2 linked regions of the Saccharomyces cerevisiae S288C genome follow. The protein of the gene in region 1 interacts with the protein of each later gene in a pairwise test. Each region holds a gene or a part of one and is shown on either strand. Other genes may lie near its edges. The genes, in order: AVT4 and STE14.

Region 1 (13,168 bases):
TGTTTCGATAGGAGTATTTTCATAGCTACTGAGTATTTGTTTTTGATTCTGCTGCCTTTGCGTGGCCTTTGTCACCAATTCTGCGAACAAAAATATGTTGAGACTATATGAAGCGAGTACTTATTGTCCTTTATGCCTAGTTTTCCAGTTAAATCTCTCTTAATAACTCCAGGTTTGTTTCAATTTCGTCACTAACCGCCAAACAAGTTTCGGGTCACCCCACACGTATTTGGTTCAAGAATATACTAAAAAAAGAAAAACAAGCACTAGCCCTAGATATGGAAAAAAAGATATTAAAACGTAATTCTAATTTAGACATCCGTGCTTCTAGTAATTATATGGTTAAAAAAAAAGGAAAGGAAGTAAATAAATAAGTATAGAAATAAATAGAAGCGAATAAGTCCTGAAATACAGAAAAGTTCTTATGCAGAGCCAGATGCCGCAGCATTCTTACCTTCGACCTCGGCCAAAGATGGAATGGACACATCACCAGAATGGATAATATTGTTAATGGTGGCAAAGATGGCTCTCACTGAAGAATCACCGACATCTTCGGAGACACCTACACCCCATTTGTAGGCCTTTTCGTTGTCGGCATTACGCCTATACGATAGATGGATGTAAGAAGCAGCTTGCGTAGAAGAACCAGAACCTAGAGAATGCTCTGTGTAGTTTGCTACGGCAAATCTCACGTTCAACAAGTTTGATAGGGCGTCGACCAAAGAAGAGATTGGACCATTACCTGTACCTTCAATATCGACGATCTGGTCGCCTACTTTGACTTGACCAGTGAACACTCTACGTTCAGTGCCGAATTTTTCAACATTATAATTGACTAAACTAATAGCTTGGTACTGTTCGTCATTGTAGTTGTAAGCCTCTTTGAATAACTTGGAAATCTCATCTGATTTTAGTTCTCTACCCAAGGAGTCAGCATGGTCTTGAACGGCGCTAGAAAATTCGATTTGCATGTTTCTTGGTAGATCCAAACCCAAAGATCTCAAAATAACCCAAGCGGCACCACCTTTACCAGACTGAGAGTTGACTCTGATGACAGCTTCGTAATCACGGCCAATGTCCTTTGGATCCAATGGCAAGTATGGGATTCTCCATTGAGTTTCACCTTGAGCACGCTTCTTGTTTTGTAAGTTGAAACCCTTCTTAATGGCGTCTTGGTGAGAACCGGAAAAGGCACAAACGACCAAGTCACCGCCGTATGGTGCTCTTTGCGATACTGGGATCTTATTACAACGCTCAACCACATCTAGGACAGAGGTCAAGTCAGAGAAATCCAAATTAGGAGAAACACCTTGGGTATACATATTCATAGCAACAGTAACCAAGTCCACATTACCTGTACGTTCACCATTACCAAAGAGACATCCTTCTACACGGTCGGCACCTGCAAGCATACCTAACTCTGTGGCGGCGACACCGCAACCACGGTCATTGTGACAATGTGTAGAGATGCAAACCTTCTCACGCTCAGTAATATGGGTAGCGAAGTATTCAATCTGATCAGCATAAACATTTGGAGAGGCAACTTCTACGGTAGCAGGTAAGTTGAAAATGATTGGATTTTCCTCGGTAGGTTCCCAAGCCTTCTTAACAGCTTCGCAAATTTCTACAGCAAATTCACCTGGAGTATCACTGAAACATTCGGGGGAAAACTCATAGGACCAACGAGTGGCTTGTTGGGAAGGGTCATCCTTAGTTAGTTTCCTAACTAGTTTGGTGGCCTCTACTGCCTTGGAAATAGCTTCCTCTCTAGACATATTAAAAACAATTTCACGGAACATATCACTTGTTGCCAAGTAAGTATGTATAGTAGCCTTTTTAGCACCTGTTAATGCTTCCACCGTTCTCTTAATCAAGTGTTCTCTAGATTGGACAAGACATTGAATACTAACATCGTCTGGGGCGTTTTCTACAGCATATCTAGTGAAGTCGAAATCTGTTTGAGATGCAGAGGGGAAGGAAACCTCGATTTCTTTGAACCCAATATTGACCAGCTTGTGAAAGTATTCTTTCTTTTGTTCCACTGACATGGGATCCGGCAGAGATTGGTTACCATCTCTCAAATCTGTTGATAACCAACGAGGAGCCCTCGTGATCCGGTTATCCGGCCACTTTCTATTAGATAGCTTTGGAGCGTTAAATGGCTTGTACTTGGAGGAAGGGTCCTTAAGCATATTTTTATAGGCTAGCTTCACTGGAGGAATAACTCTTGAGGCTCTGGAGGCCGCATGCTCAGCAAGAGCAATAATACTCTCTTTAACCATGATTGTTCCTTGTCTTTTTGTAAGGAAAAAGTCTACAGTAAACTTCTAGTGTGAGAATCCTTTTTTTTCTTCAAAAAATACCCTTTGAAAGAACTGAGTCACTTACACGTAAGTTTCTTTTTACTGGTCAAGTTGAAAAATAACCAATAAATGATTATGGAAAGAACGTTGAAAGAGGAGAGAGGCTGACCCAAGAGGAGAAAACATCGAACCTACGCGACTCCATAGCGCACATCTCCCATGCGCCCGTGCTTATATATATATAAATATACATACACACATACATGCACGCACATACATGCACGCGCATGACAGTGACTGGCCGTTACTGTACAATTTTTTCAGCCAAGTATGACACACATTCAACTCAGCTTTTCTGAGGCCTTCTTTCTTTTCCTGCGCGTCGGTAGAGCGATGACTAACCTACTACTGTCTCAGAGCCGGTCCCGCTCCGGTAGCAATCCTGGGGCTGGTCATAACAGCCGAGTGGAAGTGTCAAAGCGGAGAACAGAAGCATAAGCTCAATCGCTGGACATACGGATGCTTATATACGTCTTATTGTCGTTGAAAAATATCGAATTTTTTACTTCATTTATCGAGGCTTCTTCGAGCACTTTTCCGCTATGGCTTTTTCCCCGTTTCCTTTTAATCACGTGCGCGGGTAGCACCCGGCACACAGCTGGTGTCTCGTCGCACATGCTATTGTGTGTCATCGGGCCACACAAGCATATTGCTTGAATTTTCTTTCATCGTTCAACTTAAATCCACCCAATCTAGATGTAGCCGTAGCATGTAATAACGTATATCCTTGTTTACATGCATCTGTGCCAGGTGAAACGGTCTGTTTGAACGCACATCATTTCATATATTAGTCAACTCCTGAAGGTCTTCTTGCCTGTCCGTCAACTGTTTAGACAGACTCTCGTCAATAAAGCGCACTTCTGATAAGCACTTTTATTCCTTTTTTTCCACTGTGAACGATGAAGCAGGAGCAGTCCCACGAAGGCGACTCATACAGCACGGAATTCATAAATCTCTTTGGCAAAGATACCGCAACACACCCTAGCAGCAACAACGGTGCTAATAATAATGGCATGGGGAGCACGAACTCGTTGGACCAGTTTGTGGCAACAGCCTCATCGTCATCTTCTCTGGTGACCAGCAGCGAGAATAGGCGCCCCCTAATAGGTGACGTTACCAATAGGGGCAACACTAACCTATATGACCACGCTGTCACGCCAGAAATACTCTTAGAACAGTTGGCCTACGTGGATAACTTCATACCATCTCTGGATAACGAGTTCTCTAATGTGGATTGGAATGTGAATACCACCCATAATAATGCAAACAATAATGGCGCGGACACTTTCAGCAGCATAAATGCAAATCCTTTTGACTTGGATGAACAACTAGCCATTGAGTTGAGTGCGTTTGCCGACGATTCTTTCATCTTCCCAGACGAGGATAAGCCGAGCAATAACAATAACAACAGCAATAATGGTAATGACGACCATAGCAACCACGACGTATTGCATGAGGACCCTTCTACCAATAATAGACAAAGAAATCCTCACTTCTTGACTCAAAGAAGGAATACTTTCCTAACTTCCCAATACGACCAATCAAAGTCTCGATTTTCGTCCAAAAACAAAAGAAATGGCAATAACGGCGAAACAAACAACTTTGGCGACAATATGCAAAATAACCATCCTTTTGAGCCAAACTTTATGGGAAGCCCTTCTCAGTTTCCCGCTGACGCAACTAATATGACATCAATCGACCATGGCGGCTTCACAAATGTTGACATTACATCAACTGAGAACAATACTACCGGTGACAATGGAGTGGATGCGCTATCAAATCTACTACATAGGACAACACACACACCGAACCGCTCCTCCCCCCTAAGCAATGTCACTTCTGCTCAAAATTCCTCTTCACAACAACGAAAACATTCGGAAAGCAAAGTCGATAGTAACAGCGATAATAACAGCTCCAACAAAGCCCCCAATATAACTGTTCCTGACTATTCAATTATACCAACCTCTGTTTTAGTAACTCTATTACCGAGGGTCAACGTGCCCAACGGCGCATATAACTCGTTGATCAGCGCGGGATTTGACAATGATCAAATAGATGCTATAGCCGCAATAATGGCGTATCATCATCAAAAAAAGATTAGGGAAAATAACAGTAATAATAATAAAAACATCAACACCAATGACAGTCAAGAGGCACCCATTCTAAAAAACATCAACGAACTTTTAAGTGTCTTAATACCACCCTCTCCGGCTGAAACTGCTGCGCCAACTACCTTATCAACGTCGCCTTCGTTCAATGAGCACGGTGTAGTAGCAGAGGCTTCTTTTCTAAGCTCCATTTTGGAACTGGGCATAAAGCATCCAAAAAGTAATAATATTCACAATCAACGACAACCTTCACGAAACGATCATAAAATATCAAGAGAGAGTGACGGTAACAATGGAAACGATAATGTCCATCATAATAACGCTGTTATTAAGTCAAGTACGACGCGTGGAGACGAAATTGCCAAGATACGATCCGAGCCAACTTTAAATGCAAGTTCTTCTGATCACAAGGAAAATAGTTTAAAAAGATCACACTCCGGAGATTTGAAAAATAAAAAAGTACCCGTCGACCGCAAGTATTCTGATAATGAAGACGATGAATATGACGATGCAGATTTACACGGCTTTGAAAAGAAGCAACTGATCAAGAAAGAGTTAGGGGACGACGATGAAGATTTATTGATACAGTCGAAAAAATCTCATCAAAAAAAAAAACTAAAGGAAAAGGAGTTAGAATCATCGATACATGAACTGACCGAAATTGCAGCATCCTTACAAAAACGGATACATACGTTAGAAACGGAAAACAAGCTTTTAAAGAATTTAGTTCTGAGTAGCGGTGAAACGGAAGGAATAAAAAAAGCTGAAAGCTTAAAGAAGCAAATTTTTGAGAAGGTTCAGAAAGAATAAAATAACAGACTATACAGTTTAATTATATATATATATATATATACGTGCATTTTTCTTAAAGAAATATAACTTTTTTCTTGTACTGCCTGCAATCTCTATTCTTCATTCATCACACATCTATTCAAACGCGTTAAAATTTTTTTGTTAGCCTATAAGTAAAACGCGTCGCGTGTATCCAATTTTACTGAATTAAATTCTTTACTCATTGGATGATATATATCTTCTTGGTCTAGACAACGAACACATACCAATTCAGACTCACGAGAAAAAAAACTGTCTTCACTCTGCTATTAGAAACCAAATAGTATCAAGGCATAAAATAAACAGTGGAAAATGTCTTCTAAAAGTGAAAAATTAGAAAAATTGAGAAAGCTGCAAGCCGCTCGAAATGGTACATCCATCGATGATTACGAAGGTGACGAATCAGATGGTGACAGAATATACGACGAAATCGACGAAAAAGAATACAGGGCCAGAAAGCGCCAGGAATTGCTGCATGACGATTTTGTTGTAGATGACGATGGTGTAGGCTACGTCGATCGTGGTGTCGAAGAAGATTGGAGGGAAGTTGATAACAGTTCAAGTGATGAAGACACTGGAAACCTTGCTAGCAAGGATTCTAAAAGGAAGAAGAATATAAAAAGGGAGAAAGACCACCAGATTACAGATATGCTGCGAACTCAACATTCCAAATCAACACTGCTAGCACATGCAAAAAAATCCCAAAAAAAAAGTATCCCCATCGATAATTTTGATGACATTCTTGGTGAGTTTGAATCTGGTGAAGTAGAAAAACCCAATATTTTACTGCCATCCAAATTAAGGGAAAATTTAAATTCTTCGCCGACTAGTGAATTTAAATCGTCAATAAAGAGAGTTAACGGAAACGATGAGTCAAGTCATGATGCCGGTATTTCTAAAAAAGTCAAGATTGATCCAGATTCAAGTACTGATAAATATTTAGAAATCGAATCATCACCGTTAAAATTACAAAGCAGGAAACTGCGCTACGCAAATGATGTACAGGATTTATTGGATGATGTGGAAAATTCCCCAGTAGTAGCCACAAAGAGACAGAATGTACTTCAAGATACGTTACTAGCAAATCCACCATCCGCTCAAAGTTTGGCTGATGAAGAAGATGATGAAGATAGTGATGAAGATATTATTCTGAAAAGAAGAACTATGAGAAGTGTGACAACAACTAGACGCGTGAATATAGACTCAAGAAGTAACCCTTCAACTTCACCGTTTGTCACAGCACCCGGAACGCCAATCGGTATTAAAGGACTAACTCCAAGTAAATCTTTGCAGAGCAACACCGATGTTGCTACACTTGCGGTTAATGTCAAAAAGGAAGATGTGGTAGATCCGGAAACTGATACTTTCCAAATGTTTTGGTTGGATTACTGTGAAGTGAACAACACTTTGATTTTATTTGGTAAGGTTAAACTAAAGGATGATAATTGTGTGTCAGCCATGGTTCAAATCAACGGTCTCTGTAGAGAGCTATTTTTCCTTCCAAGAGAGGGTAAAACACCTACCGATATACACGAGGAAATAATTCCGTTACTGATGGATAAATATGGACTGGATAATATCCGCGCTAAACCTCAAAAAATGAAATATTCGTTTGAGCTTCCTGACATTCCATCTGAAAGTGATTATTTGAAAGTCTTACTTCCATACCAAACACCGAAGTCCAGTCGAGACACCATTCCATCGGATTTATCTAGCGATACCTTTTATCATGTTTTTGGTGGGAATTCCAATATTTTTGAAAGTTTTGTTATTCAAAATAGGATTATGGGACCATGCTGGTTAGATATAAAGGGAGCAGATTTCAATTCAATTCGTAATGCTTCTCACTGTGCGGTTGAAGTTTCGGTAGATAAGCCTCAGAATATCACGCCTACTACAACAAAGACAATGCCTAATCTGAGATGTCTATCTTTATCGATTCAGACGTTAATGAATCCCAAGGAAAATAAGCAAGAGATTGTTTCGATAACGTTATCAGCATATAGAAATATCTCGTTGGATTCACCGATACCTGAAAATATAAAACCAGACGACTTGTGTACTTTAGTAAGGCCGCCTCAGTCAACTAGTTTCCCATTAGGTTTAGCTGCACTGGCAAAACAGAAACTACCCGGTAGAGTCAGGTTGTTCAACAACGAAAAGGCCATGCTATCTTGTTTTTGTGCTATGTTAAAAGTGGAAGACCCAGATGTTATCATAGGCCATCGTTTGCAAAATGTCTACTTAGATGTTTTAGCTCATAGAATGCATGATCTCAACATTCCAACGTTCAGCTCTATTGGCCGTCGTTTAAGAAGGACTTGGCCTGAAAAATTCGGTAGAGGAAATTCGAATATGAACCATTTTTTTATTAGTGACATTTGCTCTGGTAGGCTGATATGTGATATCGCCAATGAAATGGGTCAATCATTAACACCCAAATGTCAAAGTTGGGATCTTTCAGAGATGTATCAAGTTACATGTGAAAAGGAGCATAAGCCGTTAGATATTGATTATCAAAATCCACAATACCAAAATGATGTAAATAGTATGACAATGGCCCTACAAGAGAATATTACTAATTGTATGATTTCTGCTGAGGTGTCTTATAGAATTCAATTATTAACCTTGACTAAACAGTTGACAAATTTGGCTGGTAATGCATGGGCCCAAACGCTAGGCGGTACAAGAGCTGGTAGAAATGAGTATATCTTACTACATGAATTTTCAAGAAATGGTTTTATTGTTCCTGACAAAGAAGGCAATAGAAGTAGAGCTCAGAAACAAAGACAAAATGAAGAAAATGCTGATGCACCAGTTAATTCTAAAAAGGCAAAATATCAGGGTGGTTTAGTTTTTGAACCTGAGAAAGGTCTTCATAAGAATTACGTTTTAGTCATGGACTTTAATTCTTTGTATCCATCTATTATCCAGGAATTTAATATATGTTTTACCACCGTTGATAGAAATAAGGAAGATATCGATGAGTTACCAAGCGTACCTCCTTCAGAGGTGGATCAGGGTGTTTTACCAAGGTTATTAGCTAATCTGGTGGATCGTCGACGTGAAGTTAAGAAGGTGATGAAAACTGAAACTGATCCCCATAAGCGAGTTCAATGTGATATTCGTCAACAAGCTCTAAAATTGACTGCCAATTCTATGTATGGTTGTTTGGGTTATGTTAACAGTAGATTTTACGCAAAGCCGCTCGCCATGTTAGTCACTAATAAGGGTCGTGAGATTTTAATGAATACAAGACAACTAGCTGAAAGTATGAATCTTCTTGTAGTTTATGGTGATACAGATTCGGTCATGATAGATACCGGTTGTGATAATTATGCGGATGCAATTAAAATTGGCTTGGGATTTAAAAGGCTAGTAAATGAGCGCTATAGATTATTGGAGATTGATATTGATAATGTTTTTAAGAAGTTACTATTACATGCCAAGAAAAAGTACGCTGCTTTGACTGTAAATTTGGACAAAAATGGTAATGGAACTACTGTTCTAGAAGTTAAAGGGTTGGACATGAAGCGTCGTGAATTTTGTCCACTTTCGAGGGACGTTTCTATACATGTTTTAAACACCATCCTGTCAGATAAGGACCCAGAAGAAGCATTGCAAGAAGTGTATGATTACTTAGAAGACATCAGAATAAAAGTGGAAACCAATAACATTAGAATTGATAAATATAAGATCAATATGAAGCTTTCAAAAGATCCCAAGGCCTACCCAGGTGGTAAAAACATGCCTGCAGTCCAAGTAGCTCTAAGAATGCGTAAGGCTGGTAGAGTTGTTAAAGCTGGCTCTGTCATCACTTTTGTGATCACAAAGCAGGATGAAATAGACAATGCAGCGGATACGCCGGCTCTTTCTGTGGCTGAACGTGCCCATGCATTGAATGAGGTAATGATTAAAAGTAACAATTTGATACCTGATCCACAATATTATCTCGAGAAACAAATATTCGCGCCGGTAGAAAGGTTGTTAGAAAGAATTGATAGCTTCAACGTGGTGCGTTTGAGTGAAGCGCTTGGTTTAGATAGTAAAAAGTATTTTAGAAGAGAGGGCGGTAATAACAATGGAGAAGATATTAATAATTTGCAACCCTTAGAAACAACAATTACAGACGTTGAAAGGTTTAAGGATACTGTAACATTAGAATTAAGTTGCCCATCATGCGATAAAAGGTTTCCATTTGGTGGTATTGTATCTTCAAATTACTATCGCGTGTCATATAATGGTTTACAGTGCAAGCATTGTGAGCAACTTTTTACTCCTCTTCAATTAACTAGCCAAATAGAGCATTCTATAAGGGCACACATTTCCTTATATTACGCAGGGTGGTTACAGTGTGATGACAGCACATGCGGTATAGTTACAAGACAAGTCTCCGTTTTTGGTAAGCGTTGTTTGAATGACGGCTGCACGGGTGTCATGAGATACAAATACAGTGACAAGCAATTGTACAATCAACTTTTATATTTCGATTCTTTATTCGATTGTGAAAAAAATAAAAAGCAAGAATTGAAGCCAATATATCTACCCGATGATCTCGACTACCCCAAGGAACAGCTGACAGAATCATCTATTAAGGCTTTAACAGAACAAAACAGAGAACTAATGGAAACCGGCCGGAGCGTTGTTCAAAAATATTTGAACGATTGTGGACGTCGCTACGTTGATATGACTAGCATATTTGATTTCATGCTAAATTAGGTAAGTATTTTGTATGTGTTGTGTGATCTCATGAATATTCTATATAGTAAGAAAAGAATACAACTGTACATACGCATCCTACTAGATACCTAATGTACAGACATCGGAAGGAGCGCTAGGAAGCTTTTATTATTGAAGGTTTTCAGCGATATTCTGAGAATGTTTTTTCGGCTCTGGTGATCAGTTCTCACATGCATCATCCTTTAATAAACCCATGCATTAAGATTCGCCTTATCAGCAAGATCAGATAAGCGAACAGCTTCATCAATGAAATAGAATGCTTAAATCTTGTGAAGCACTGTCATAAGCCAGTTTGATAAAAGCAATACCCACAATATAGTTGGATATCATTTACCTTGATCTGCTCTTGCTTTCGAGGTGACATAGCATTTTTAGCCATCTGATTCCTTAGGTTCAAAGGCACTCATCATTCCTCCTCTAAAACACATTTCAACGTCATTCATAATCTGGAATCAACATAACAATATCCTAGAACACATCATCAATGGTCACTAACAATGGAGATGGTGAGCACCTTGGGATCCGAAGAAACGGAAATTTAAGGCATCCTTCCAATAATATGAAAATTCCCAGAAGGGCTCAATCAACAGTTCTCAATTCAAACCCATTTTATAGTAGGAAGTATTCTATGTCTACCTTAACGCCGAGGGATATATGTCGAAGCGTTGATTCTAGAGTATTTGTGGATATGTCTTCTCCCAATTTTCAGACTCTGGAGGATCCCCACAGAGATGAGATTATAAACAGTGTACGGCTTAACTACTTGAACAGTAGCAAAAGAAGTTCCGTCTCTCATGGAAATGAAGCAATCCCTAGGGTTAATCCGACTAAGAATTCTTCAGCAAGTACCATAGCTGCAGCAAATGTTGATAGTGATGACGATGAGACTAACCTGAGTAGCGCTGGAGGCGACATAACGCATGATATTTACAAGTTGGTTAAAGCAGAGGATCCTAAACGGCTCAGACGCCCTCGGTCCATGGAAAATGTAACACCTAAAATTGAGCACCATACTAAATTGTCATCAGCAAGTGGTTTAAATGTCCCCGGTGGCTTCAGAAGGGAATTTATTGTCAACAAAAAAAGGCAAGAACATCAATTAAATGATTCCGCTAGCTCAGACTTCACTTCGCATGAAAGCGATTCGATTAACCAGTCATCTCCATCTTCTAACCAAGATATCGATAAGGTCCCCTTTTTAACAAGAAACTTTTTGGAATTTCTATACGTGTTTGGACATTTTGCTGGTGAATCCTTCGAGGATGATTTTATCCCTGATAGCTCAAACATGATGATACGCGGAGAAGATGAAAGGAGTGCATTGCTGTCTCGGCCTGACCATATGAAAGTATTACCTTCAGCCAAAGGTACGACTTCGACAAAGAAGGTTTTTTTGATATTGCTTAAATCTTTCATTGGAACTGGCGTTTTATTTTTACCTAATGCCTTTCATAATGGTGGTTTGTTTTTCTCAGTAAGTATGCTGGCCTTTTTTGGAATTTATTCATACTGGTGTTACTACATATTGGTGCAGGCCAAATCTTCATGCGGTGTATCCTCCTTTGGTGATATTGGTTTAAAACTGTATGGACCTTGGATGAGAATAATAATTCTTTTCTCCCTAGTAATAACTCAAGTTGGATTCTCTGGAGCTTATATGATATTTACTGCAAAAAATTTACAAGCTTTTCTTGATAACGTATTCCATGTGGGCGTCCTACCTTTATCTTACCTGATGGTCTTTCAAACGATCATTTTTATTCCACTTTCGTTTATTAGAAACATTTCGAAATTGTCACTACCATCTTTACTAGCAAATTTTTTCATCATGGCTGGTTTAGTCATTGTCATTATTTTTACAGCCAAAAGGTTGTTTTTTGACCTGATGGGGACCCCAGCAATGGGTGTCGTCTATGGCTTAAATGCAGACCGTTGGACGCTGTTTATCGGGACGGCAATATTTGCTTTCGAAGGAATCGGGTTAATTATTCCTGTTCAAGACTCAATGAGAAATCCTGAAAAATTTCCTTTAGTACTTGCTTTGGTGATTCTAACGGCAACCATACTTTTCATTTCCATAGCTACATTGGGATATTTGGCATACGGCTCAAATGTTCAAACGGTTATACTGTTGAACTTACCTCAAAGTAACATTTTTGTAAACTTAATCCAGCTGTTCTATTCCATCGCAATTATGTTGTCCACACCTTTGCAGTTGTTTCCAGCTATTAAAATTATTGAAAATAAGTTTTTTCCAAAGTTCACTAAAATATATGTCAAGCACGATGATCTAACAACAAGAGTCGAATTACGTCCTAATTCAGGAAAGCTGAACTGGAAAATTAAATGGCTGAAGAACTTTATTCGTTCTATAATCGTAATCATTGTTGTATCAATTGCTTACTTTGGGTCTGATAATTTAGACAAGTTCGTTTCAGTTATAGGATCCCTCGCCTGTATTCCTTTGGTATATATATACCCATCGATGCTGCATTTACGGGGCAATAGCCTTCCAGAGACTAAAGGGGAATTTTGGAGATTCAAACCAATGTTAGATACCATTTTAATTTTCTTCGGTATTGCAAGCATGCTTTATACGTCTTACCAGAGTATATTCGGTGTCTAGACGATATATGTTGTTGCTTCATAAAGAATTTATTTGGAATCGAGGAACACTATTTTGCCATTGTCGCCATTGACAGCTTGCAGTTGCAAACGTCTTCTTAATTCACTTTATATAAACAAGGACCGCCAGGTCACAGTATTATTCGCACGAAATTATGTAGTAGGTAAAAAACACTAAAAGCATTACCCCTATATTGTTATTTAATGTTCCATCTACGATTAGTAGGTGGTGAGCATGTCTGAATATACACAATTTCATATTTATTATCAAGTTCAAGATTGCCAGAATTTTATTTTTTTTTCCAATCTGCGAATAAGCTTGATCCGATTACTCCGCTTAATGCCCCGACAACCTGAGAACTTTTAAACATATCAAGGAGTAGAGTGGGATTAATGACAATGTGATAGTTTCATAATTAAAGTAAGCAGTCAAAGACAGAAGCAGCACACCATTTACCAATACAGCTTCCAAAATGGTAAATTTTTATGATGACGTGGATG
Region 2 (11,594 bases), on another chromosome or scaffold:
ACTATTGATTTATCCTTCTATTGGGCACTTGGGGTTGCTTTAACGGGAAGTAAGTAAATAATTTAGGTACTGTTTTTATTCCATTTTCATACTAGTAATGTACCGCCAAAGAAGATACAACATTGAGAAAGATTAGCGGAAGCGTCGTCGAGCACCTGTCCTGGTGTGGCGACAAGCATTTTCTCGTAGAAGGAGCATTAACATTTTCTCGGCCTAGAGCCAGGGGGCTTAGGCGGAAACCTTCGGAAAGGGAAAAAAGCGGCTAGAGGGGACTGCCAGGCTGCTCGAACACAAAGCGAAGTAGACATATCATATTAGTATAAAGTCACGCAAACGGATCTCTGTTTACATTAGCATTGCTATCTAAGAGGATAATCTGGGTTATGCTTTATGGTCTATGAAGTACCTGTTTTATGATATTGTTTATTTCACTTCCTTAAACAAAATATCTGTATGTTATGAAAGCAAAATACACAACCCAAACATCCACAGTGCACGGATGTTTGAAGGAAAATTGCTACTTAATCAGTAATTGCAGAAGGCCGCACCAAAAAAGAACTTATGGTTTCGAAAATGATGCATGATTTTACATAGCTTATATCAAATATCTAGTTCTATTTCATCTGGATTAATCGAATATGAAGAGGTTGATTGGGTAAGAGTATGCGAGTTGGGAGCATGCGAGGTTGCTGCCGCCACGAAGTTAATGTTACCTTCCTCATGGCTAACGCTAGCTGAATCAATGAGCATGTTGGATTCCAACACCTTCTTCATCTTCAACATGTCTTTGTAAGTTTCCTTATCCCCATGTTTTAACTCAAAAATTTCAAAGCTATCCCATAATTCAGTATTTCTGGATGGAGGAAGAAGCTTTGCACCATAGGCAAGGATTTCACGTGCTCGAATAGTTTCTCCTATAGAGCTCTCGAAATCTGAAAATTTAATCACAAACTCAACAGCTTTAGAGTTTGGTAAAATTTGAATGCATTCTTGGTACAACTCTCTGGTTACTGATGGTCCCAAAGTAGACTCGGCCTTGGAAATACACATTCTCCACAGTTGCAGTCTACTTTCGAGGTGCGTGCTCACACTAACAGTACCTATTACAGCACCTCTACGTAATATCTCAATACTCTTGCTAATCAGACCACTTATCCTTTCTTCAAATACGCTATAAGCGATAAAAATTGTTTTACAGTCTATACCATTTGAACATAGATTCTTAAGTGCTTTCTCAAACAAAAATCTAATATGTTCAGGACTCAGTGATGACAATTGATGTGATGTCGCTACTTCTAGATACTCAATCCATAATTCGTATTGGATTTCGGGGGGAAACAGAGGGATTGTTTTCTCATACACCTGAAAACTTTCCATGACTTCGTAATGATTTTGTAAGAACAATGCAAAATTTTCTGCCATTGCTGGAGTGATCAATCTCAAATCAATAACAGTATTGTATGCCATTTTTGTCTTATTGAATATTTTATCGGAGGAATTTGCATCCTTTGGGCAGTAAGCCTCTAGATAATCAATGTATTTGGACCAAATACGTAATGAGTTGAATAGAACAGTTTGAGCAGGTATTTTTCTGTGTCCATTCTTATATTTTTCGAGGAGAATTTCTGGATTTGTTGGCACATGTAATGCATCTTCAAGGATAGAAAAAGCTCTTTCCACCCCTTCTTTATCTAATTCTCTATCAGCCCAGTTTAGGTAAATTTCTTCCAGATCTTCTATATAAGGATACGGTACCTTCAGAGATTGTGTCCACAATTCTCTAGCTGTACTAATTGCGTTTGATCTCCAATACAAATCCCCATACGAACACCAAAGCCTACCGAAAGAGCCAGGCGTACCAACTTTTCGGGGATCAATTTTCAGTATAGCTTCTGAATACACATTACACTTTTCCGCTGCTGACTTCTGCAAGGACACTCTTTTCATCCACGTTTCCACCAAGTTGGAATCTTGCCTTAGTGCGACATCGTTCAAATAGATATCATATAAGTTGATTAAAGATTCAAATGTCGCCATATGAGCTTGTAACTTTTCAGTCCAATCTTTTTGATTAAAGAATTTGCTGTCATTTTCCTTTAGCTTTCCCAGAATAAATTGGGAGCACTCTTGCTCAAATAGCAAATAGAAATTATAGATGCGATCAAAATCACTGTACCTAAGTGTTTGCTGTAAACTTTTCTTCAATAAATCACCACAACTGTCAAGCCTCCCGCGAGAGATATAATATTTGGCAAGTGATAGGATCAAAAAAAGCCATTTGTCGGGATATATGCCATTCATTTGCCTCATGAACTCCTCATATTGATTATCTAAACCTAGTTTTTCTAGGCTGGCCAAATAATTGAAATTTAATTCAAAAGGCAGTTCTGAACTAGGTAGATACTTCCCACTATTTTCATCTTGTGGCAAATACTTTTCATATACTGATTTGATGGTAATATTGTCTCTAGTTAATGCAAGAGTTGCCAGCGATTCATTTCGTTTTTGCTGAGGAGCCACTTTTAAGTATCTTTCTAAAATATGTGACGACCAAATATCACCTCTACTTCCGTTTTCACTAATTTCCTCGCTAATAAAACCTCCCTTCGTGAAACCCTTCACTAAAAGTACATTTATCAATTCAGCTTCATCAGTACTTTCTTCTTCATCTTCTTGAGTTGAATCCAGTTGCGTTAATGGTAAAACTTTTTCTTCCACAAATTTTATGACAGGATCCCAAACTTTCCGATGCATTTCTCTCTCCATTTTCATTAAAGATGAAGCTAAGGCATGCCTTATCATTGCCAAGTCATATTGTTCAATTGCCAATTCTAAATAAGACAAACATATCCTGTCACAATCTCGTACACAGCTTTTCAGGCACCTTTGAAAAAGCCAGAAAATACGTGAAGTTTCGACTACTTCCTTTGTTGATTCCCAGCGTATATAATCTTCCCATATACTTGTATCTGTTACAAATTGTGAACAAAATCTTTCATATAGCCACCTAATCTGTTTGTCAGTTCTTCCCTCCTCTTTCCAATACTCGATATATCTTTTCCATGTAAGTATGTTCTGCGGTGTCTTTTGTATTTCGTACTCAAAAGCCACATCTTCATCATTTCTTATGTTCTCATCGACGTTTGTTATTACTCCTTTCATTGCGATGTATGCTGACATAGGATATATGGACACAATAAGTTTTGCGGTACTGAAGGATAGTTGAGTCCAATATGGAGGCCTGATTATTTCCTTTTTTTCTATCTATTTCCTTTTGTATTATTTTGACTGAAAAGCTTGCCAGCGTCTTTACTAAAATCTTTCATATGTTCGGACCGCTATAGTAAACTGAAACTTGATATTCAATAATTATCAATCTTCGAAGCTAAAGAAATACAAAATCTTTATTCGAAAAAGTAAGTAACATAATCAACCGCTGATTAGCACAATATGAGGATACAGTCGCTTTTTGTTTTATTTAATGTTGCCATCATCGCATGGTCATATCCATATGAGCCTTTAAGGGTTTTACAAGTAGGAGAGAATGAGGTAATGGAGGTTCCCGAATCAGAAAAGCTAAACTTACGAAGAAGAGGTGTCAAATTCTTTGATGTGACCAAACACACTTCTTTCTTACCTTTCTTTAACAAGGAGGAAGAGCCAACAGTACCAACGTATAACTATCCTCCTGAGATATCGAACAAAGAAGTAGTGGATGATTCGATTAAGAATATAGACAAGGGCTCTATGCACAAGAACTTGGCAAAGTTTACAAGTTTTTACACCCGTTACTACAAGTCCGATCACGGCTTTGAATCTGCCGAGTGGTTAGCTGCAACTATCGCTAATATTACAAAAGATATTCCGCAAGATACGTTGACTATTGAACATTTTGATCACAAAGAATGGAAGCAATATTCAATTATAGTCCGTGTCACGGGATCTACTACGCCAGAAGATATTATAATAATTGGTTCTCATCAAGATTCTATCAATCTGCTACTGCCATCCATAATGGCAGCTCCAGGTGCGGACGACAATGGGTCAGGCACGGTGACTAATATGGAGGCTCTCAGATTATATACGGAAAATTTTTTGAAGAGAGGATTTAGACCTAACAACACTGTGGAATTTCACTTTTATTCCGCCGAAGAGGGGGGATTGTTGGGTTCTCTTGATGTTTTTACAGCTTATGCCAAACAGAAAAAGCATGTGAGAGCGATGCTTCAGCAAGACATGACGGGATATGTTTCTGATCCAGAAGATGAACATGTGGGGATTGTCACCGACTACACTACTCCCGCATTAACTGATTTTATAAAACTAATTATCAACTCTTATCTATCCATTCCTTACAGGGATACACAATGTGGCTATGCTTGTAGCGATCATGGGAGTGCCACCAGAAACGGATTTCCAGGCTCCTTCGTGATTGAAAGTGAGTTCAAAAAGACTAACAAGTATATTCACAGCACCATGGATACTTTGGACAGATTAAGTCTCGCTCATATGGCGGAACACACAAAAATTGTATTAGGGGTAATCATTGAACTCGGGTCATGGTCCGCTTGGTAAAAGTCAGTAATATGCATACATAACTAATGATGCCTTACCTTGGTGTTCTTTTGTAATATACCTAAACCGATATCACGCTAGTATTTATTTCCCGAATTTTTTTGGCGTATTTCGTCATCTGAAAATAACATAATCAATGAAAGAAATAGAGTCAGTTGCAAAAAGTGCAAGCCAGCGCTAACCGCTCCCGATTTAGTCGCAATATTGATGGCAAACAGTACCAAAAACTGGTTACCCATATAAATTGTTTGGCATTGTTATTATTGTTATAAATTATTATTGTTATTATTATAAATTATTATTAGTATTATACAAAGTTTTCAATTCTGCAACAAGTTGGGCCGCAAAATATGGAGAAAAGCGAAAGTAATTCTGAAGGACTTTATCTCCAAAATATATTAAATGTTCCCCCTCCGCAGCGATTTATTGTGCTCATAATACTTGCCCTTTGGATCTGGACATGGATATTAAAATTCTTCTTGCATAGTAATTTAGACGTATCCCAAGTCATACTCACGAGAGTACCGCACGATATACGTCCAGGTTATACTCTACAGCAATTGCATAGAACAGCTAGAAATTTTGCTTTGAAGATAACAAGGATTATTATACCGTTCCACTTTGCCACTGTGTTCCTTTTTGAGTTCATGAATATTATAGAAGGTCCACTCAAAAATATCATTCTCATCGTATATTTTCTACCATTGATCCAATGTGTCACTATATTTTGGTTTCTGTTGAAAGAGTGCCAGATAATAAAATATTGTACTAGGAGATGTTTGTTGATAGAATCCTCCCCCCGTTCCTTAAGGAATACCTACATTTTAATCTCTGACACGTTGACATCGTTTGCAAAACCATTGATAGACTTCACATTGTTTACCTCTCTAATTTTTAGAGAACCCTTCACACATTTTGATCTATCCGTAGCCCTTCTTCCTGTACTGGTAAGACTACTGCAGTGTTTGAGAGAATACCGTTTACTGCACGAAGCAACTTTACTATTCAATGCATTGAAATACAGTTGTAATCTTCCCATTCTTTTTTGCACCTGGAGATCAAGAGTGTATGAGGGATCCATCAACGAAGAAAGACTACACCACGTTCAAAGATGGTTTATGCTAATTAATTCTTCCTATACGTTATTTTGGGATGTAAGGATGGATTGGTCATTGGACTCGTTAACCTCTTTAAGATCCAGATCCAAAAGTGCCGTCACATTAAAGAAAAAAATGTATCATTCGGCGATTCTCGTTGACTTTTTGCTGAGGTTCTGGTGGCTATGGGTATATTTATCGCAGAATCTGAAATTAGTTGCCGCAGATAGCGACTACATTTTTTTCCAAGGCGAAATGCAGTATTTCGAAGTAATTAGAAGAGGCATATGGGTCGTTTTCAAATTGGACGCAGAGTATTATATTAAGTTTGCAAGCAAATAATTTGTTGGGCAAGCCATATAAAATCATGCAAATGCTGTAAATATTTGTTCTATTTTCCCCGTAGAATGGTTTATTCGATATATTACATATAATAAACGAAAAATACATATGCACAGTATATACTTTTCCAAAAAAAAATCAAACACTGTTTGAGCGTCAAGAAACCCCAGGCGGTGCCCGACGATAATGCGACTGCATTATCTCCTACGCTTGTTGTCGTTTGCCTTTCTTTGGTTTATTCTTCGTTCATTTTTGGTCAAATATCTGAACTTTTTTACTCTTGGCTTCTTCTTTTGTTTCTCATCCACGCCCAGAAACTTCGCGTATTTGGTGGCTCTATTTATGCTTTGTTTGAGTACTTTTTCTGCCTTTTCTAATTTGACATTATTTAGCTGGGCTAAATATTCAAAGTTATCATTGGGTTCCAATGTCTCCAATTCAACAGTAGTTGAGTCATCGTATATTTCCGTGATTGCTCCTTTCTTCAAAATAGGCTTTACGCTACTTTCATTATTGTCGTTATCGCCGTCATCTTTATCAGAATCAAACCCGTGCCAGGATTCATCAGATTCTACCTGCAAATCCTCCGTCTTATCATTTTTCGCATCCTCTATCTCAGCTTCCAAGTTTAAACTCTCTTTAAACGTCTTTAACTGTTCTTCCATCACCTCCTTACGTTCCTGCCGAATCTTCTGTCTTTCTTCAATTTTTCTAAGCCTTTCCTGCTCCTTAATAAACTCTTGTGCTTTCTTTTGTCTTTGAAGCTTTCTCTTGTGAAAGCCAGTCAGATAATCCAAACGAGAATCCTTGTCGAACGTCACCTCATCGGTACCGAATTTCTTTGATTGCTTTGTAGCATAGTTTTTGCCTCTTGTAAGGATTTGCCTATTGGTGTGAACAGCCATAGCAAAAATCGAAAACCTTTAATTCACCCCTCTTGATTCGAGCAGCTACCAGGAACTTGAATATTGCAACTCTCTATTTTTTATCTGCTATTATCTGCTGCTTTGCAGAATCGATCCTCATCACATTTGAAAAATTTCAAATGTGAAAAGTCCCTACTTACCCGTTCGCGGCTCATGAAATCGTGTCCTCTTCAATATAAGACAAGAGTATCAAACAAAGGATATAAGGCAAAATACAACAAATTACCAGTGAATTCCGCATTTCCAAGTCAAATCAAAAACTATTTTCGAGGAAATAATGGCAGGCCCAAGGAATGTGCGTACATTACATGGAAATGGAGGCCGTAATAATGATGTGATGGGCCCAAAAGAATTCTGGTTAAATATCCCCCCAATAACAAGAACTTTATTTACTCTAGCGATCGTTATGACGATCGTCGGCCGGTTGAATCTAATCAATCCGTGGTACTTTATTTATGTTTGGAATTTGACGTTCAAGAAGGTTCAGATATGGAGACTTCTTACTTCTTGTGTAATGCTTTCGTCTCGTGCCATGCCTGCGCTAATGGAACTATATAGTATTTATGACAGGTCCTCACAGTTGGAGCGAGGGCATTTTGGTCCCGGTTTGTCCAATAGACGAGGACCGATGGTAACAGTAGACTATGCCTACTACCTGTGCTTTTGTATACTAGCCATCACTACGGCCACTACAATCATTTATGGGTCCTACTACCCTGTTGTGCTCACCTCTGGGTTCATATCATGCATTACATATACTTGGTCGATCGACAATGCCAACGTGCAGATCATGTTTTATGGTTTGATTCCTGTTTGGGGGAAGTACTTCCCCTTAATTCAATTGTTTATCTCTTTCGTTTTTAATGAGGGTGATTTCGTAATCTCATTGATCGGTTTTACTACAGGGTACCTTTATACATGCTTAGATACCCATACACTGGGGCCAATATGGGGGATGATATCCAGAAAAGCTGATCCAACCTACGGAATCTCGCCCAATGGGAAATTCTCAACGCCATGGTGGTTTACTAGTCTATATGCTCGCATAACGGGTGCCCACAATGAAACTGCAACATTCAACAACAACTTTGCCAATGTGCCATCTTCGCAAAGAGAAACGAGAACTTTTAGTGGAAGAGGTCAACGATTGGGTACGGCCCCTGCAACATTGTCTCAAACCAGTGGCACAGATTCAGGCAGAGCTTCTGGAAGTCAATTAAGAAGTGGCCCATCGAATTTGAACCAATTTCAAGGCCGCGGCCAACGAGTAGGACAAACAAACAGCCCCTCCGACTCACAATAACAACTTTTATCTATTTCTATGTACTTTGCCATTCATTATATACATCAAGAGAGTCTGACATAGTATTTTCGTTGGCATAGCAACCGATTGATAATGAAACATCACTCAAGACGAATTGACAAATGGGCCACTATGGTAAAACAATTCTTTACATGATACCACCAGTATATAGAAAGGTTCTCGTGTTGATGAATTATATAAGAAAGTGAAAATCGATTTCAAGATAATTACTCTTTTTACCTCCTCTTTCATTGTGGTCACCGTTTTTGAACACAACATGCACCAAGATTTTCAAGAAGACGAGCATGAGTATCCAGACATCAGACGCAATCCGCTGCATGAGGTGACCATGACTTCCTACATACTGGGGATTCTTTTAGGTATATTTGTTGGTCTTTTTCCACAAATTAGATTCAAGAATTTTAACCTCTTTATTATTGCCCTGTCCTTATTCCATTTTTTGGAGTATTATATTACAGCTAAATACAATCCTCTTAAGGTACATTCAGAGTCCTTTCTTCTGAACAACGGCAAAAGTTACATGGCGGCACATTCCTTTGCTATTCTGGAATGCCTCGTAGAAAGCTTTCTTTTTCCTGATCTGAAAATTTTTAGCTACTCTCTAGCTACCAAGCTTTGTACAGTACTTGGATGTCTTCTAGTTATTCTGGGACAATATACCAGAACTATTGCTATGCATACTGCGGGACATTCCTTTTCTCATATTGTGAAGACCAAGAAGGAGTCCGATCATGTTTTAGTGAAAACTGGCGTTTACTCCTGGTCAAGACATCCAAGTTATCTTGGGTTCTTTTGGTGGGCAATTGGCACTCAGCTACTGCTTCTAAATCCCCTATCATTGGTTATTTTCATTTTTGTACTTTGGAAATTTTTCAGTGATAGAATTCGTGTGGAAGAAAAATATTTGATAGAGTTCTTTAGCGCGGAATACATAGAATACAAGAATAAGGTTGGTGTCGGAATACCTTTTATATAATAGTAATGATTGTGTTAGTTATGGACTGGATTTTTGTGTTATGTAAGATTTTATCTAATCTTGTGCATCTGTATTTGGTAGGTAATAAATGCTAGGGGAATGCAAACAGTGATATTGCCTTTGAGTATTGAAAAGAAGAAAATATTTCTTTTTCGAACGGAAAATTATAGAAAATGAAGGTCATATGCACAATTACAAAGAAAATATTTCATGAAAGAGCTGGACGGAACCGTCCAATTTTAGCCTCGTTTTTAACCACTGTTGTATTTCTTTCCATAATCTTGCGTTTTCCATGTACCCATTATGGGTGAAGTTGAGGATGTATTAGAAAGTTGTCTTTTTTGGGGCAGTACATTAGAGTAAGGCCTCCTTGGAATGAATGGATTTACAATGAGTCTGGACTTCTGCAACGGTATGGTTGCAGTGTTGGGAGGATTGGGGACACTGTTTTCATTGTTTATCAAAGGAAGCCCAGACTTGTTAGAGTTTGTACGAATTGGGACGTTCTGGGGCAACGTGGGAAGTACAGGCGTAGAATTTTGTCGCCCGACGTCATTCCTCGTGATTGCTTCTGTTGTTGGTAGAGAGTTATTCCTTTGATCAAGCCCATTATTCGACAAAATAGTTGCCCCACGCAATGTTGAATCAGGGAATCTTGTGGTATTCAAACGTGGATCATTAAATCTTGAGTTCACGGTGGAAGGAAAGGACATATCCATATTCTGTTCACGTGGTGGAAAAACTGAAGATTCTTGAGGCTGGACAAATGAATCTGATATCGATGCAGTATAACTGTTGGAATTTATGGGAGGCCTTATTGTTTTATCGGGAACAGTGGATCCCCTGGGATCTAATGAACTCATTCTTATTAAGGGAGGGGTACTGAGAGCGCTCGAACTTGCATTTGAAGCGGTGTTTCTTGGCGTTGGGGATGATACGCTAACATCTGGAGAGATTAAGTGGGATGAATTATCAACAGCAGTCACATTTAAAGGCGTTTTTCCCAGAATGTTCGGCAATTGTTTACCAATATAACTGGAACTGTTTCCGAGGTACTCAGGAATAACCCTGTTTGTCACCGGAGTAGTAGTTTCTGAAGCAACTATGTTATAACTTTTTGGATCCAGGGTTCTCGAGGGTGCACTTGAACCTTTTTCAGTTAGAATATCTGTATTAGTACTTTTAAGGTGATTGCTAGTTATTTCCGCCATAAGTCGATCATCATCATCGTCATCATTATCGTTCATTAAATTTTTAGTATGATTATGACTGGGAGTATTACTGCGACTACCATGATCATGTTTATTATTACTATTACTATCATTATTTTCGATACTATTATTATTATCATTATTATTATTATTGTTATTATTATTATTATTATTATTTTTATTATGACTATCATTATTTTTGATACTATTATTATTGTTATCATTACTATGCCTGTTGCTATCATCATGATTATTAGTAACATGAGGATTATTTCCATTTGGTTCGTCATCATCACTATCGAGATTTATGATAATCGGTTCACTTGGATGTGAAGAAGAACAATGATGATCCGATACTGAAGTACCTTTTTCTGGGCTTCTACTACCATCATTGCTGTCACTGTCGCTGTCATCATCGTCTTCCAATATGGCTGTCCACTTACCATCAGAAGTAAGTTCTACCTGTTCAACGTTTTTTTGACAGTTCTGTAAAATGTCATCAACAAATTCGGAAATTGCTAAATTTTCCAAAGCTATATCAATTTGACATACTGGGCATTGCCACGTAGGAATTTGTAGTTGGGAGTGTAGGAACCATAATGCATCAAAACATTGCAGATGCTTACAATTTATTGATTTTGAAGGGTATTTCATTCTTGTGTACGAAATTGGACATTGCAGACTCATGATAGTAGATGTGGTAGTCAAGCCCATTTCTTCATCCTCCCGAAGTGTTTTTTTCAAGTAAAGTAACGTGGCTTGTTTAATAATTTTTGGATGCTGTAATACTTTTTCCAGGAGTTGCTCCGGAGTGATCATTTCTACAATGTACCCAAATAGCTTGTATTCCTTCGTGGTGAAGGCATATATCAGCTCCACATTGTTTTGTTGAGTATAAGGTTTGAGATGAGGCGTTAAATCCGCCGGCTTAGCTGTGCCCGGCTTACTCTTGAAACCTCTTATATTATCTTTGATTTGAACATTATTGCACCTTAATTCATTTGGGAATGGAAATTGGATGGGTTCATTACCTCGGGATCCTAATGGATTAATCATCCCAGAAAATAAGTATAGCCTGTGTTTGCTATTCGGGTTACTTAATAGATTATAGTCTGCTTTGGACAATTTAAATTTCGCAGAGCA

Evidence for each region.
Region 2: the proteins of AVT4 (region 1) and STE14 interact in a protein complementation assay, tested with the Saccharomyces cerevisiae proteins (one large-scale study listed by BioGRID).

The regions. Positions count from the first base shown.
Region 1 is NC_001146.8:424,473-437,640, forward strand, and holds AVT4 (Avt4p), read left to right. Parts: upstream 1-10,526; coding exon 10,527-12,668; downstream 12,669-13,168. Other genes in the region: phosphatidylinositol-3-/phosphoinositide 5-phosphatase INP52, read right to left, coding at 1-23; 2-isopropylmalate synthase LEU4, read right to left, coding at 423-2,282; MET4 (Met4p), read left to right, coding at 3,263-5,281; DNA-directed DNA polymerase alpha catalytic subunit POL1, read left to right, coding at 5,615-10,021; MIC27 (Mic27p), read left to right, coding at 13,141-13,168. UniProt on the Saccharomyces cerevisiae protein: Involved in amino acid efflux from the vacuole to the cytoplasm. Capable of transporting large neutral amino acids including tyrosine, glutamine, asparagine, isoleucine and leucine.
Region 2 is NC_001136.10:1,290,018-1,301,611, reverse strand, and holds STE14 (protein-S-isoprenylcysteine carboxyl O-methyltransferase), read left to right. Parts: upstream 1-8,520; coding exon 8,521-9,240; downstream 9,241-11,594. Other genes in the region: mRNA splicing protein SYF1, read right to left, coding at 601-3,180; YDR415C (putative aminopeptidase), read left to right, coding at 3,451-4,575; ERD1 (Erd1p), read left to right, coding at 4,926-6,014; rRNA-processing protein RRP17, read right to left, coding at 6,212-6,919; DFM1 (Dfm1p), read left to right, coding at 7,218-8,243; SUMO ligase SIZ1, read right to left, coding at 9,492-11,594. UniProt on the Saccharomyces cerevisiae protein: Mediates C-terminal methylation of the isoprenylated C-terminal cysteine in A-factor mating pheromone and Ras proteins.